3 linked regions of the Macaca fascicularis genome follow. The protein of the gene in region 1 interacts with the protein of each later gene in a pairwise test. Links are inferred from orthologs where the notes say so. Each region holds a gene or a part of one and is shown on either strand. Other genes may lie near its edges. The genes, in order: DDIT3, DBP and FOSL2.

Region 1 (3,742 bases):
TCCACGGCGGTCCTGCGCTGAAGTGCACTTACACGTCCCAGGATGAGACTCCGCTGTAAATCTCGACCCGAACACCTAGGAGGCAGGCCTGTGCCGCGCTCCTCACAGCAGGGAGTCACAGGACTTGCTGTCTGGTACAGCAAGAGAGGGTCTTGGTATTGGAGAAAGCCGTAAGAGTATAGTGGGGGAAAATAGGTGGCCAAACAGAATTGGGTCCACTGGGTAAAATACATGACTTCTGGCAGGCTGAGGGCTTAGCAACTCCAAGGTAAAAGTCAAGGGCGCTGTTGTGAGAGAAGCGGAAAATGACTACCAAGGGATTCCAGTACCTCGGCCCCTTTTGGGAGATTTACGGGGCTAGACGACCCCGGTTTTTTTTATTTGTTTTTCGTTTTCGGTGAAACGTAGTCTCGCTCTGTCACCCAGGCTGGAGTGCAGTGGCGCGATCTCGGTCACTGCAACATACGCCACCAGGGTTCAAGCGATTCTCCTGCCTCAGCCTCCAGAGTAGCTGGGATTACAGGCGCGCATCACCACACCCGGCTAATTTTTGTATTTTTAGTAGAGACGGGGTTTCACCATGTTGGTCAGGCTGATCTGGAACTCCTGACCTGAAGTGATCCGCTCTCCTCAGCCTCCCAAAGTGCTGGGATTATAGGCATGAGTCACCGAGCCCGGAGACCTCTCTAAGACTCTCGAGATGTCGACAATCCCAGTGGATGGATACCAACTTTCAAAGGAAAAGTTCAAAAGGCCTATATGACCATTAGCTGGGAGGGGCCAAGGAAAATGGGAGTCCCTTATAGTGGAGGTAAAACGCCGGCTAAAGCTCGGTGGGCGGAACAGCAGCTTCTGGGGGAGACAAGCGGCAAAGAGGCTCCACACGACCGACTACGGACGGCCAACGCTGATAGCCGTTGGGGCCGTTGGGCGCCGGGAGCTGGCGCCCCGCCCTCTCTCCTTTCCCCCACCCTCTGCACCTCCCACCACCCTCGTAGTCCCCTGCGCGTGCGCGTGCAGACACCAGTTGCCAAACATTGCATCATCCCCGCCCCCCTTTCCTCCCCTCCCCCCGCTACACTCCCCTCCGCGCGCGCGCATGACTCACCCACCGCCTCCGTGAAGCCTCGTGACCCAAAGCCACTTCCGGGTCCGACACTACGTCGACCCCCTAGCGAGAGGGAGCGACGGGGGCGGTTCTGCGGAGCTCCTGAGTGGCGGATACGAGGGACGAGGCGGGGCCAATGCCGGCGTGCCACTTTCTGATTGGTAGGTTTTGGGGTCCCGCCCCTGAGAGGAGGGCAAGGCCATGGTAAAAGATTACAGCTAGGCGCTCCCGAGGTCAGAGGCTTAAGTCTAAGGCACTGAGCGTATCATGTTGAAGATGAGCGGGTGGCAGCGACAGAGCCAAAATCAGAGCTGGAACCTGAGGAGAGAGGCGAGTACTGACTCCCATCTGCCCTTTGCCCTCCCGTCTCCTCAGAGTTGGGGCATCCGCTCTTTAGGATTGGCCTCACGCCTCCACAGTGAAGTCAGGGACCGTCCGAGAGAGGAATGGGGAGAGTCCCTTATTCTGGGGTGGTGCTTACAAACCCCCATTGCTTCGGACGACAGCGTCTCTCCACCCCTGCCCGGAGCCGGAGCATGGGCCCTGCTCTGTGCTGCTGGGCAAAGGGACCTCGGCTGCCCTAGGGAAATTCATTCTCTCCCGTAGCCAACTTCAGGCCACCTCGTTAGGCCTGTCCGCGGGGAGGCAGCAGGACACACCCCCGCTCTAAGACTGAGTTACCATCGCTCAAACCGTTTCCGCCCGTTCGCCACCATCGGCCTTCTCCCTACCCTACCCCCAATCCTGTCTCAGTCTCAGCGTCTCTGGTGTCAGCATGGCCACCTCGGTAGCTGGGGCTACTGGACCCTGCAGGGCTGAAAGGGGAACCTTGACACAAGCCTTTGGGAGGGGTGCCGATGGACAGGGAGCGGTGTGTTTTCCCTTTGCCGTAGAGGTCTCTGGGCCTCCCGCACAAGAGAGCAGCCTGGATCTCTTAAGTGTAGGAGGCCATTTGGGGTCTCCCCAGGGTATCGTCCTTCCCTCGGGATTAGTCCCTGCCTCTTTAACCCGGTCCTGTCTCCCAGCTAATCTCTGTGTAACCATTGCATCAGGCCAGCCCCGTTTGGCTCTGCAGCCTTCTGACCTGAGGCTCCACTGCTGATGAAAGCCAAGTCCCACGCACTGGAAGGCAAGGGAGGGTTCCCCAGGGAAGACAGCCCTGCAGAGAAATATTTCGGGCAATATTGCATCTCCAGTCCCTAGGGATCGGCAGCTGCCACTCTGCGTCTGCCCCTTCCCTATAAGAGAGATTGGGGAGAATTCATTCATTCTTAACAAATACTTAATGAGGACCTACTGTGTGCCAAACAGTTTGGGGCTCAGGGAACATCCGTGAGCAAGAGGAAAAAATCATCTCAGTGGGAGGCCTACAGTAAACAAAATATAAGTGCCATGGAGAAAGCTAAAGCAGAGAAAGGAATGGAGAATGTTCAGGATGGAGGTTACTGTGTTACATCAGGTGGTCAGGAATTACCTTAGGTAATTCCTCCTCTCAAAACCCTCCAATGACTTCCCTGACATGACATAGGAAGTCACTGGAGAGTTTTGAGCAGAGGAATGACCTGTTTTAAAAGGTTCACTCAGGCTGCTGTATGGTGAATAGACTTACGGAGGGGTGGCAAGAGAAGAAATGGGAAGACCTTCTGCAATCAGGAAGTTTCTGCAGTAATTGAGAGATGGTGGTGAATTGATCTAGATTGGAAAGAATGGAATTAGAGGTGTTTAAATTCTTCTAAGCAAAGTTTTAAAAACTCATTTTTAAAGAATGAGTTAAGGGCCGGGCATGGTGGCTCATGCCTGTAATCCCAGCACTTTAGGAGACCAGAGGAGTGGATCACACGAAGTCAGGAGTTCAAGACCAGCCTGGCCAACGTGAAACCCCATCTTTACTAAAAATACAAAAATCAGCCAGGCATGGTAGTGCATGCCTGTAATCCCAGCTACTCAGGAGGCTGAGGCAGGAGAATCGCTTGAACCCAGGAGGCAAAGGTTGCAGAGCGGAGATTGTGCCACTGCCCTCTAGCCTGGGCAAAAAGAGGGAGACCCGTCTCAAAAAAAAAAAAAAAAAAAGTTAAAATTTGCTAGTACTTTGGATTGCAGGGTGTGAGAGGAATGAAGGATGATACCAAGGTTTTTAGCTTAAGCAACTAGAGTTGTCATCTGAGATGGGGATGACCTTGGAAGGGGAAAATCAACAAGTTTGCACATAGTCTTAGGTACCTATTAGACATTGAAAAAGAAATGGCAAGTAGGCAGTAGACAGCAGAGTCGGAAGTTCTGGAAGAGGTCCAGACTGGAAATACACATTTGGAGGATGTCAGTGTGGGAATGGAGTTAGGAAAATGCTACAGGATGTCAGTGTGGGAATGGAGTTAGGAAAATGCTACGATTTGTTCCCTTCCCTATAGTTTAGTCTTTACCCTGGCAGGTTTAAGGCCTGCCTTGAATTTAGAGAAAGCTGAGTTGGCCAGAACTTTGCTATTATGTAACCAGGACTACAAATGTCAGCAACTAAAAATAAAGTCAGGCCCTCTTCTGCCCTTGGAAATGGCTACAGGGACCAAGTATGCATACCCCACAAGACCAGAAGTAAGGACGGACCAGTAGGAGGCTGGAGATAAAAGAAAAATAAGG
Region 2 (3,742 bases), on another chromosome or scaffold:
GTCCCATCCCCCTTCCTGCGTCTGTATGGTGTAGCCTCCTGAGCTGTCTCTTTTTCTCTCTCTCCCTACATATCAACGTGGCACAGTCCACCTTCCAGCCCTAGGTCATTGCTGTCGCACGATTTGTCTTTCCTCTTCACTGCTTTGTAACTTGGTCTATAACCCTTGACCCCTGCCTTCCTATGGTGCGATTACCTACTGTTCTGTGCTTCCTATTACTGTGAATTTCCAAAATGGTACAATTTGGATCCTCTCTCCCTTTCCAAGTCGTACTACTCTACGCTGTTCCACAATCTGATGCTCCTTTCCCCCTTACTGAGAATCTACAACTGCCTCCCTGTGGTTCAGCCCAGGGATCTCACACCCCCCGGCTTCGCAACATGGTACAGTCCACACCCCCCATGAAGACCTTCAGGTAGTTCAGCCTAATGCTGAATCTGGACATCCCGATTCCCCCCTCCTGTTGGCTTCTTGTGGTTCAGCCCAGTGCTTCTCGACCTGGTACATTCTGGTTCCCCGCTCACAGACTTCCGATGGTAGAGCCCTGCGCGGCCCAGCCCACGCCCCCTGCACGCCCCCTGCCCCTTCCATCCTAAACTGACGCCTGCCGTTGTTCTCTGTCTTACAGTGGATGGTGCCCCCCATGGTCGCTGAGACTCCCCTTCGAGTATTGCACCCGCCCGTCCTAAGCCTCCCCACACGGCTAGGGGAGTTACTCCTAAAACAAAGCTATTAAAGGGACAGAACACTTCTTGTTTCTCAGTGGTCTGATTCTAGGCGCGGTGGGGAAACATTTGGGTATTAAAGAACAGACTTCTTCCGGAAACCAATCTTCCTCTTTTTAAGCCCCCGCTACTCGGCATTTTGGCTTCCTGCTTCTCAAAACCATCATTAGGACCGCGGCCCCTTTAAGCGGCGCCCCTCTTCCCCCATCACACCCCTTACCACTAGGCAGCACGAGCAGAGCCATGTGCTTCCCCCTCCCGCCTGCTTCATTGGCCCAAACTGGGTCACGGTCCCGCCCCCAGTACCGCCTCCCATTGGGCAAATGTAGGTCAGTGTCCCGCCTCCCACCGAAAGGCAAGGCAACTTCACGCGCTGAGCCCCTCACGCGCCCTCCTGGGCCCTGGCGTATCCAGAGGCCCCATTGGCTGTGCGTCTCAAGGGGTCGGAGACGATTGGCCTGTGTTTGCAGCCGGAGGGAGGCACGCGGCTGGGGTGCATGCCCACAGAGGCGGGCGGGGCTGGACGCGCCGGGCGGGGACCCGGAGGAGGGGCGCGCGCTGTGGCGTCGGGTGTTTTGGTTTGGATTTTTTTTCCGCGAAAGAAGTTTGCTTTGGCCACGCCTCAAGGCGGCCGCCTCCTCCTGCCCCCTCCTCCGCCCCTCCGCGCACACCTCTCGGTGCAGATTGCAAAGCGCCTTCCGTTGCGAGAGCTGCAGATTTTGCAAGAGCCAGGCTCGCCCACCTTGTAGAAGGGGCGCCTTGGGTCCCCTCTCACCCTCGGTTGCAAAGGGCCGGCCGCTTGATTTGGACACCCCCTCGCCCAGACTGCATGATCTCCCGGGACCCTTTTGAGTTGCACGTTTCTGCACCGAGGACCTCAAATTCCCGTCGCTCCTAGGATTTGCAGCGTTCTGGATACTGGAGGGTTGCAGGCTACACTCGCCCGCCCCTGGGCAGACAGTCGTCCAAACCACTGGAGTGTGCCGGTGACTGGCAGGCCAGCCCTTCGCCTCTCCATGAACCCGTGAGCCTGGGGGCAGGTGCCAGGCGATGGCGCGGCCTGTGAGCGACAGGACCCCGGCCCCTCTGCTGCTGGGCGGCCCGGTCGGGACACCCCCTGGCGGGGGAGCGCTGCTTGGGCTGCGGAGCCTTCTGCAGGGGACCAGCAAGCCCAAAGAGCCGGCCAGCTGTGAGTTCTAACCCCCATCTCACCCAGTTCGGACACCCCACCCCCTTAAGGCCTCAAATGCCGTTGGTTGGGGGGTGGGGGCCCATAGACACCTCCTGTGTGGGGGGAGTCCATCTTCCCAACCTTAATCTACTCAATTATTCGGGTGTTTAGGCCCCTAGATCCCTCAGCGCCCAGGACCCAAAAGCGGCAGCTCTGAAGCCCGTCCACCCTAAGGTCCCCAAAGTCTTCCTCCCTCGGTTCACAGGAGTGTAGGCCCCAGCCTCCTCTTCCTTTGGTCCGGGAGTCTGGACCCCTGGGGTCCCAGGGAGGGGGTGTGTCGGGTGCTCACACGGTGGTGACACGGGCTTGGGCGGGGCGTCATGGGGTCACATGGAGTCTAGGGATGAGGAATGTGCCCCAGGAATAGAGCCCCTTCCTGTCCCTTACAGATGGTGGGGGAGGGGGAAGGGGGTACAGCGCGCAGGGGATGGGGTTGGGTAATTACAGCGGAATTACAGAGCTGTCATTTTTTTCTCTCACCTGCCCAACCCTCCACCTACCCTCTCCCTGCCCCCCTATTCCTGAACTTCCGTCCCTCTTTCTCTGGGTCGCTGTCTTTCTGTGTCTCAATCCCTTCCCGGCATTCTGTCCCCATCTCTGTGAATCTGTCCACCTGTCTCTGCCACCCCCGTCTCCGTTCTTTCTGGGTCTCTCTCCCACTCTGCGTCTCCGTCCCTTCATTTCCCGTCTCTCCTCTCCGACTCCCCATCCCCTCTTTCTCTGGATCTCTGCCCTGTGCCTCTCGGACTCGGGGTCTCTTCTCCCATCTCTATCTCCACCCCCCCGCCATCCCAACCCGTCTTTCCCGGCCCGCAGGTCTCCTGAAGGAAAAGGAGCGCAAGGCGGCCCTGCCCGCAGCCACAACCCCTGGGCCAGGCCTGGAGACTGCGGGCCCGGCGGATGCCCCGGCTGGGGCGGTGGTGGGCGGCGGGTCCCCGCGGGGGCGCCCGGGGCCAGTTTCCGCCCCGGGTCTGTTGGCGCCACTGCTTTGGGAGCGCACGCTGCCGTTCGGCGATGTGGAGTACGTGGACCTGGACGCCTTCCTGCTGGAGCACGGGCTCCCGCCCAGCCCGCCGCCCCCCGGTGGCCCATCGCCGGAGCCGTCGCCCGCGCGGACGCCCGCACCCTCCCCAGGGCCGGGCTCGTGCGGCTCCGCTTCCCCCCGCTCCTCTCCTGGGCACGCCCCCGCCCGGGCTGCCCTCGGGGCCGCCAGCGGCCACCGCGCAGGTGCGGCGAAGGGGGCGGGGCGGGTCCTGACGAGGCGGGGCTTGGACTCAGGGGGCGGGGCTGTGCGACGCAGGGGGCTGGGACCGTGGGACCCGGCTGCCGCCCCGCATTTTGTGTCCAGTTGTCGAGCGGTGTCGTGGGAGGGGGCCAGATTCTGTGTCTCTTAATGGGTCAGGAACTTGGTCTTCTGGCTCCATAGGGGAGGAGAGACTTGGAACCCTAAATTCCAGGAAGCCTGCCCAATGAGATTTTGTGGGTTTTTCTGTGGGACGTGGGGACAAAGGATGTGGATACTCGTGAAGCCAGAACTGGAAGTCCGGAACACCAGAGTTATTTACTGGGCAGTGGACTGACCCCAGAATCTGGGCCCATAATCGATGGAACTGGGATAGAACTGGAGCCCCTAGGTCCTTTACAGGAGCAAAGGAGGGGCGCAGAATTCTGTTTACCCAGGACATAAGAGACTGGCAGCCCAGTTCTTGGGTCCCCCAGTGGGGCGTGCTGCAGCCCCGGGTCCCAGAGTTCTTCAGAAGGGAAGACGTTAGGGATCTTGTTTCTG
Region 3 (3,742 bases), on another chromosome or scaffold:
GTTCCCGGCTCTATTTTTCTTTCCTACCAACACCCCCACTTTACAGATAAGGAAACTGAGGACAGAAATTGTGTGACGGTGCACAGCGAGTTGCCCGCAATGGACTCTCAAGAACACCTCTTAACTTTGGGGCCTCATAAGGACCCTGTGGGGTACAGACGGCTGGTGCTACTTAAGAATTGGGTAAACTGAGGCTAACAGACCCTGGGCCAGAACCTAAGTTCCCTGAATTCCGCTACAGTACTTCTCCATTCACACACCATCATCTCAGCAGAAGGACTGGAGCTCCAGAGCAGAGAAGGGCCTAAGGTCATGGCTCCAAACTCCTTCCCTTTATAGGAGGAAACTGAGGCCCAGAGAGGTTAAGGAATTGGTCTAAGATCTCACAGCTCGTAAATAGCGTAGCCGGGCGTTCCTGCTCCAAGGTCTGTGCTCTGTACCCTGCGCCGCGCCCCTCCCAGCCCCGCCCAGTGAGGGAGGAGGACCCAAGTGTCCGGCTACCCGCGCCCTGAACTTCGCTCCAAAACAGCTGAAGACGACAACGTTGGGGCACACCCTCTCGCTGGCTACTTTTTTTTTTTTTTTTTTTTTAATTCGTAACAGTCGGGAGTTTGCTTATGAACGCCCGATTACTCTTATTAGATGCGTCCTAATTGCTCGGCGTACAGGGCAGCCGGAATATCTTGCCCGGTTAATTTCATCTTCAAGGCTACTCCTAACGAATTAACTGTAGGACCGAAAACATGAAAAACAAAAATCAAAAAGGGAAGCGGTAGGCAGCCCGCCACGGAGGGAAAAATAGGCAGGCCAGCCCCGCCCGGCGCCGCGCCCCGCCAAGACCCGGCCGCAGGGCGGCGCGGGCACCCTGCGCGCCCCGGGCGCCCGCTGCACTCGGCGGCGCCGCGAAGGGCGCCTACGACCGCGCGCGGCCGCGCCCTCCCTGCGAGCGGCTCTGCGCGCCCAGCTCCCGGCCTCCCGGTGGCGCCGCACCGAACCGCCCGTCTCCCCGTCAGGGCTGTGATTATTTTCTAAAATCCGGAGTCGAGACCGCGCGGCCGCTCTCGGGGCCCCGCCCCGCGCCCCTTCCCGGGGCGGGGGAGAGGCCACAGCGCACTCGGGAGCGGGCGAGGGAATCCCTCTCCCTCCACGTCACCCGAAAGCGAGGAAACCCGCACTCGCGTCCTCTAACGCAAATGACCATCTTTGGCAACGTGCGCCAATGGAACAGACCAAGGGCGCTGGGCCCGGGGGGTGAGCGGGGGGCGGGGGAGGGCCGGGGCTGCCTCGGCGCCCCCCAACCGTGCGGGCCGCCCGCTCCCGCCAGGGCCACCGCCTGGCTTCCTCGCGCGGGGTGCGCGGCTGGCGTCAGCGCGGCCGGGAGCCGGGGCTGGGAGGGAAGAGCTGCGCCCGCCTCCTCCCCTCCTGCGCCTCTTCCTCCTCCGCGGCCTCCTCCCCCCGCCTCCTCGTGCGCTCCTCCCTGCAAGGTGGAGTCTGGGGTTGACGTGAGTGAATCCACATGGTACAGGGCTGGAGAATAAAGAGTGTGAGTTGAACTCGTGCCATTGTAGTGACTCATCTCGGGCAGAGCGCTAGGGCTTCGAGCGAACCAGCGAGCGAGCGAACGAGCGGCGCTCGGCGGGGACAGAAAGAGGGAGAGGGAGAGGCGCGGTCGGGCGAGGCGGGCCCGTCCGGGAGCGGGCGCCGGGGAAGGGGTGCAGGTCCGGGCGCCGGAGCGGGGAGCAGGGCCGCGTCCCTCTCAGCGCCAGCTCAGCTTGAGCCCCACGAGCCGCTGTCCCCCTGGCGCGCTCGGGGCCGCGGGACGGGCGCACGCCGCCTTCTCCCAGTCAAGTATCCGAGCCGCCCCGAAACTCCGGCGGCGAGTCGGCCACGGGAAGTTTATTCTCCGGCTCCTTTTCTGAAAGGAAGAAACAGAAGTTTCTCCCAGCGGACAGCTTTTCTTTCCGCCTTTTTGGCCCTGTCTGAAATCGGAGGGTCCCGGGGGCTGGCAGGCCAGGCTCTCTGGGCTCCTAGTCTTTTTAATTTCCAATTTTTGATTGGGCCGTGGGTCCCGGCTGAGCTCCGGCTGCGCGCGGGGGCGGGAGGGCGCGCGCAGGGGAGGGACCGAGAGACGCGCCGACTTTTTAGAGGGAGGGACCGGGTGGACAACTGGTCCCGCGGCGTTCTCAGAGCCGGAAAGAAGTGCCGTAAGAGGCGCTCGGGGGACGCTGTTCCCGAGGTGTCGCCGCCTCCTTGTCCTCGCCCGCCGCGGTTGGGGAGAAACCCAGGAGCGAAACCCAGAGCCCGCGGCGCGGCCGGCGGACGAACGAGCGCGCAGCAGCCGGTGCGCGGCCGCGGCGAGGGCGGGGGAAGAAAAACACCCTGTTTCCCCTCCGGCCCCTACCGCGGATCATGTACCAGGATTATCCCGGGAACTTTGACACCTCGTCCCGGGGCAGCAGCGGCTCTCCTGCGCACGCCGAGTCGTACTCCAGCGGCGGCGGCGGCCAGCAGGTAGGTGCGGGCCCCGGTGCACCTGGCGGCGCGGGCGGACCCCTGCCCTCCTCTCGCCGCCACTGCCTCTTTTGCTTTCTTTTCCTTTTCTTAGCGAAAAAATACCTACGGGCCACCGTTGTTAAGTTCTGGATTTTCGTCCTCTCCTCCCCCACCACCCCCTTTTACATCAGGGGATTGGGGAGTGGGCTTGAAAAGACAACATGCCCTTTTCCTCCCACATTATATTTTACCCAGATAAACTCCTGGAATTGTAGGCCCCCTACCAGGAAGAGCCTGTTACCTCCTCCCATGAACTACTCCCCCTCCCCAGTGCCCGCCCCTCCTCGCCCCCCGCCCCGAGTCTTCTTTCTGGATGGTGGACAGACAAGAAAATCTTTGCACCCACTGGCACCTTTCGACATCCTGGGACCCTATTCTTTCAGGAAAGCTCTCTCTCTCTCCCCTCCTCGTTCTCCATCAGTCTTAGCTCCTTTCTGAAAGGGGTTGGGGATCCAGAAACATGGTTGGACTCCTTCAAGTAATCTGGAGCGAGGGCGAGGGCTGCCGCTCTGGGAATCAGGTGCGAAGGTCAGGAAGGAAGAAGCCAGCCTTGATTGGCTCATGCCGCCTGTGTGCCCAGTGCCTGCCCGCCTGCCCGCCCGTCTTCTGTAAGGGTCGAGGACAGGAGGCTGCACTGCCCCGCAGGAACGAAGGAGCACCGTGAGGGTCTGGGGGTACCTGGAGCAAGGAGGCCGGCAGAGAGAACAGGGGGTCGGTGGGGGAAGAGACATCACACAGGCTCCTGGGTGGTTCTGGAAGCAGAAAACAACTTGTTTCTAAAGCAGCCGGACTGGTTTGCGGTGGAGGGATTGTGCGTGTGATCTCTGTGTTTATAAATACCAGGAAGGTACTGTTGTTGCGGGGCGGGGGGGGTGCTGATGGCGTGCCTGCCCTCTGCTGCGGCTCCCCACCCGCTCTGTCTCAAGAGAGAGCTGGGTTAACGCAGGCCCAATACAACATGCAGCCCACGGTGGTCAGCATCTGTGGAGTCTAGCACAGTTGGCTGCAGCAAGGGATGCTCCATAAGGCGGTGGCCTTGGCCTCTAGAAGGGGCTGGGGTGGGCTTCCAGGGAGGGGTAGATTCAGCTGGAAAGTCTTATGGAACATGGCTCTCTTTTGGATCTGATGAGGGATCCCTTGTTCCAAAGTGATTCCCTATACCTGATGAGTCCCCAAAATGGCTTTTCTG

The links.
Region 2: the proteins of DDIT3 (region 1) and DBP interact in binary tests that used the Homo sapiens proteins (3 or more experiments, as listed by UniProt). The link is inferred for Macaca fascicularis from reciprocal best matches to the Homo sapiens genes DDIT3 and DBP.
Region 3: the proteins of DDIT3 (region 1) and FOSL2 interact in binary tests that used the Homo sapiens proteins (3 or more experiments, as listed by UniProt). The two-hybrid records come from large-scale screens. The link is inferred for Macaca fascicularis from reciprocal best matches to the Homo sapiens genes DDIT3 and FOSL2.

The regions. Positions count from the first base shown.
Region 1 is NC_088385.1:64,328,149-64,331,890, reverse strand, and holds the start of DDIT3 (DNA damage-inducible transcript 3 protein), read left to right. Parts: upstream 1-1,154; 5' UTR 1,155-1,269; intron 1,270-1,340; exon of another isoform or gene 1,341-1,375; coding exon of another isoform or gene 1,376-1,438; intron 1,439-3,742. Other genes in the region: DDIT3 upstream open reading frame protein, read left to right, coding at 1,376-1,438. UniProt on the Homo sapiens protein: Multifunctional transcription factor in endoplasmic reticulum (ER) stress response. Plays an essential role in the response to a wide variety of cell stresses and induces cell cycle arrest and apoptosis in response to ER stress.
Region 2 is NC_088393.1:56,630,123-56,633,864, reverse strand, and holds the start of DBP (D site-binding protein), read left to right. Parts: upstream 1-1,404; 5' UTR 1,405-1,775; coding exon 1,776-1,914; intron 1,915-2,772; coding exon 2,773-3,183; exon of another isoform or gene 3,184-3,742. Other genes in the region: CA11 (carbonic anhydrase-related protein 11), read left to right, coding at 268-383, 629-736. UniProt on the Homo sapiens protein: This transcriptional activator recognizes and binds to the sequence 5'-RTTAYGTAAY-3' found in the promoter of genes such as albumin, CYP2A4 and CYP2A5. It is not essential for circadian rhythm generation, but modulates important clock output genes.
Region 3 is NC_088387.1:93,833,178-93,836,919, reverse strand, and holds the start of FOSL2 (fos-related antigen 2), read left to right. Parts: upstream 1-1,564; 5' UTR 1,565-2,409; coding exon 2,410-2,511; intron 2,512-3,154; exon of another isoform or gene 3,155-3,742.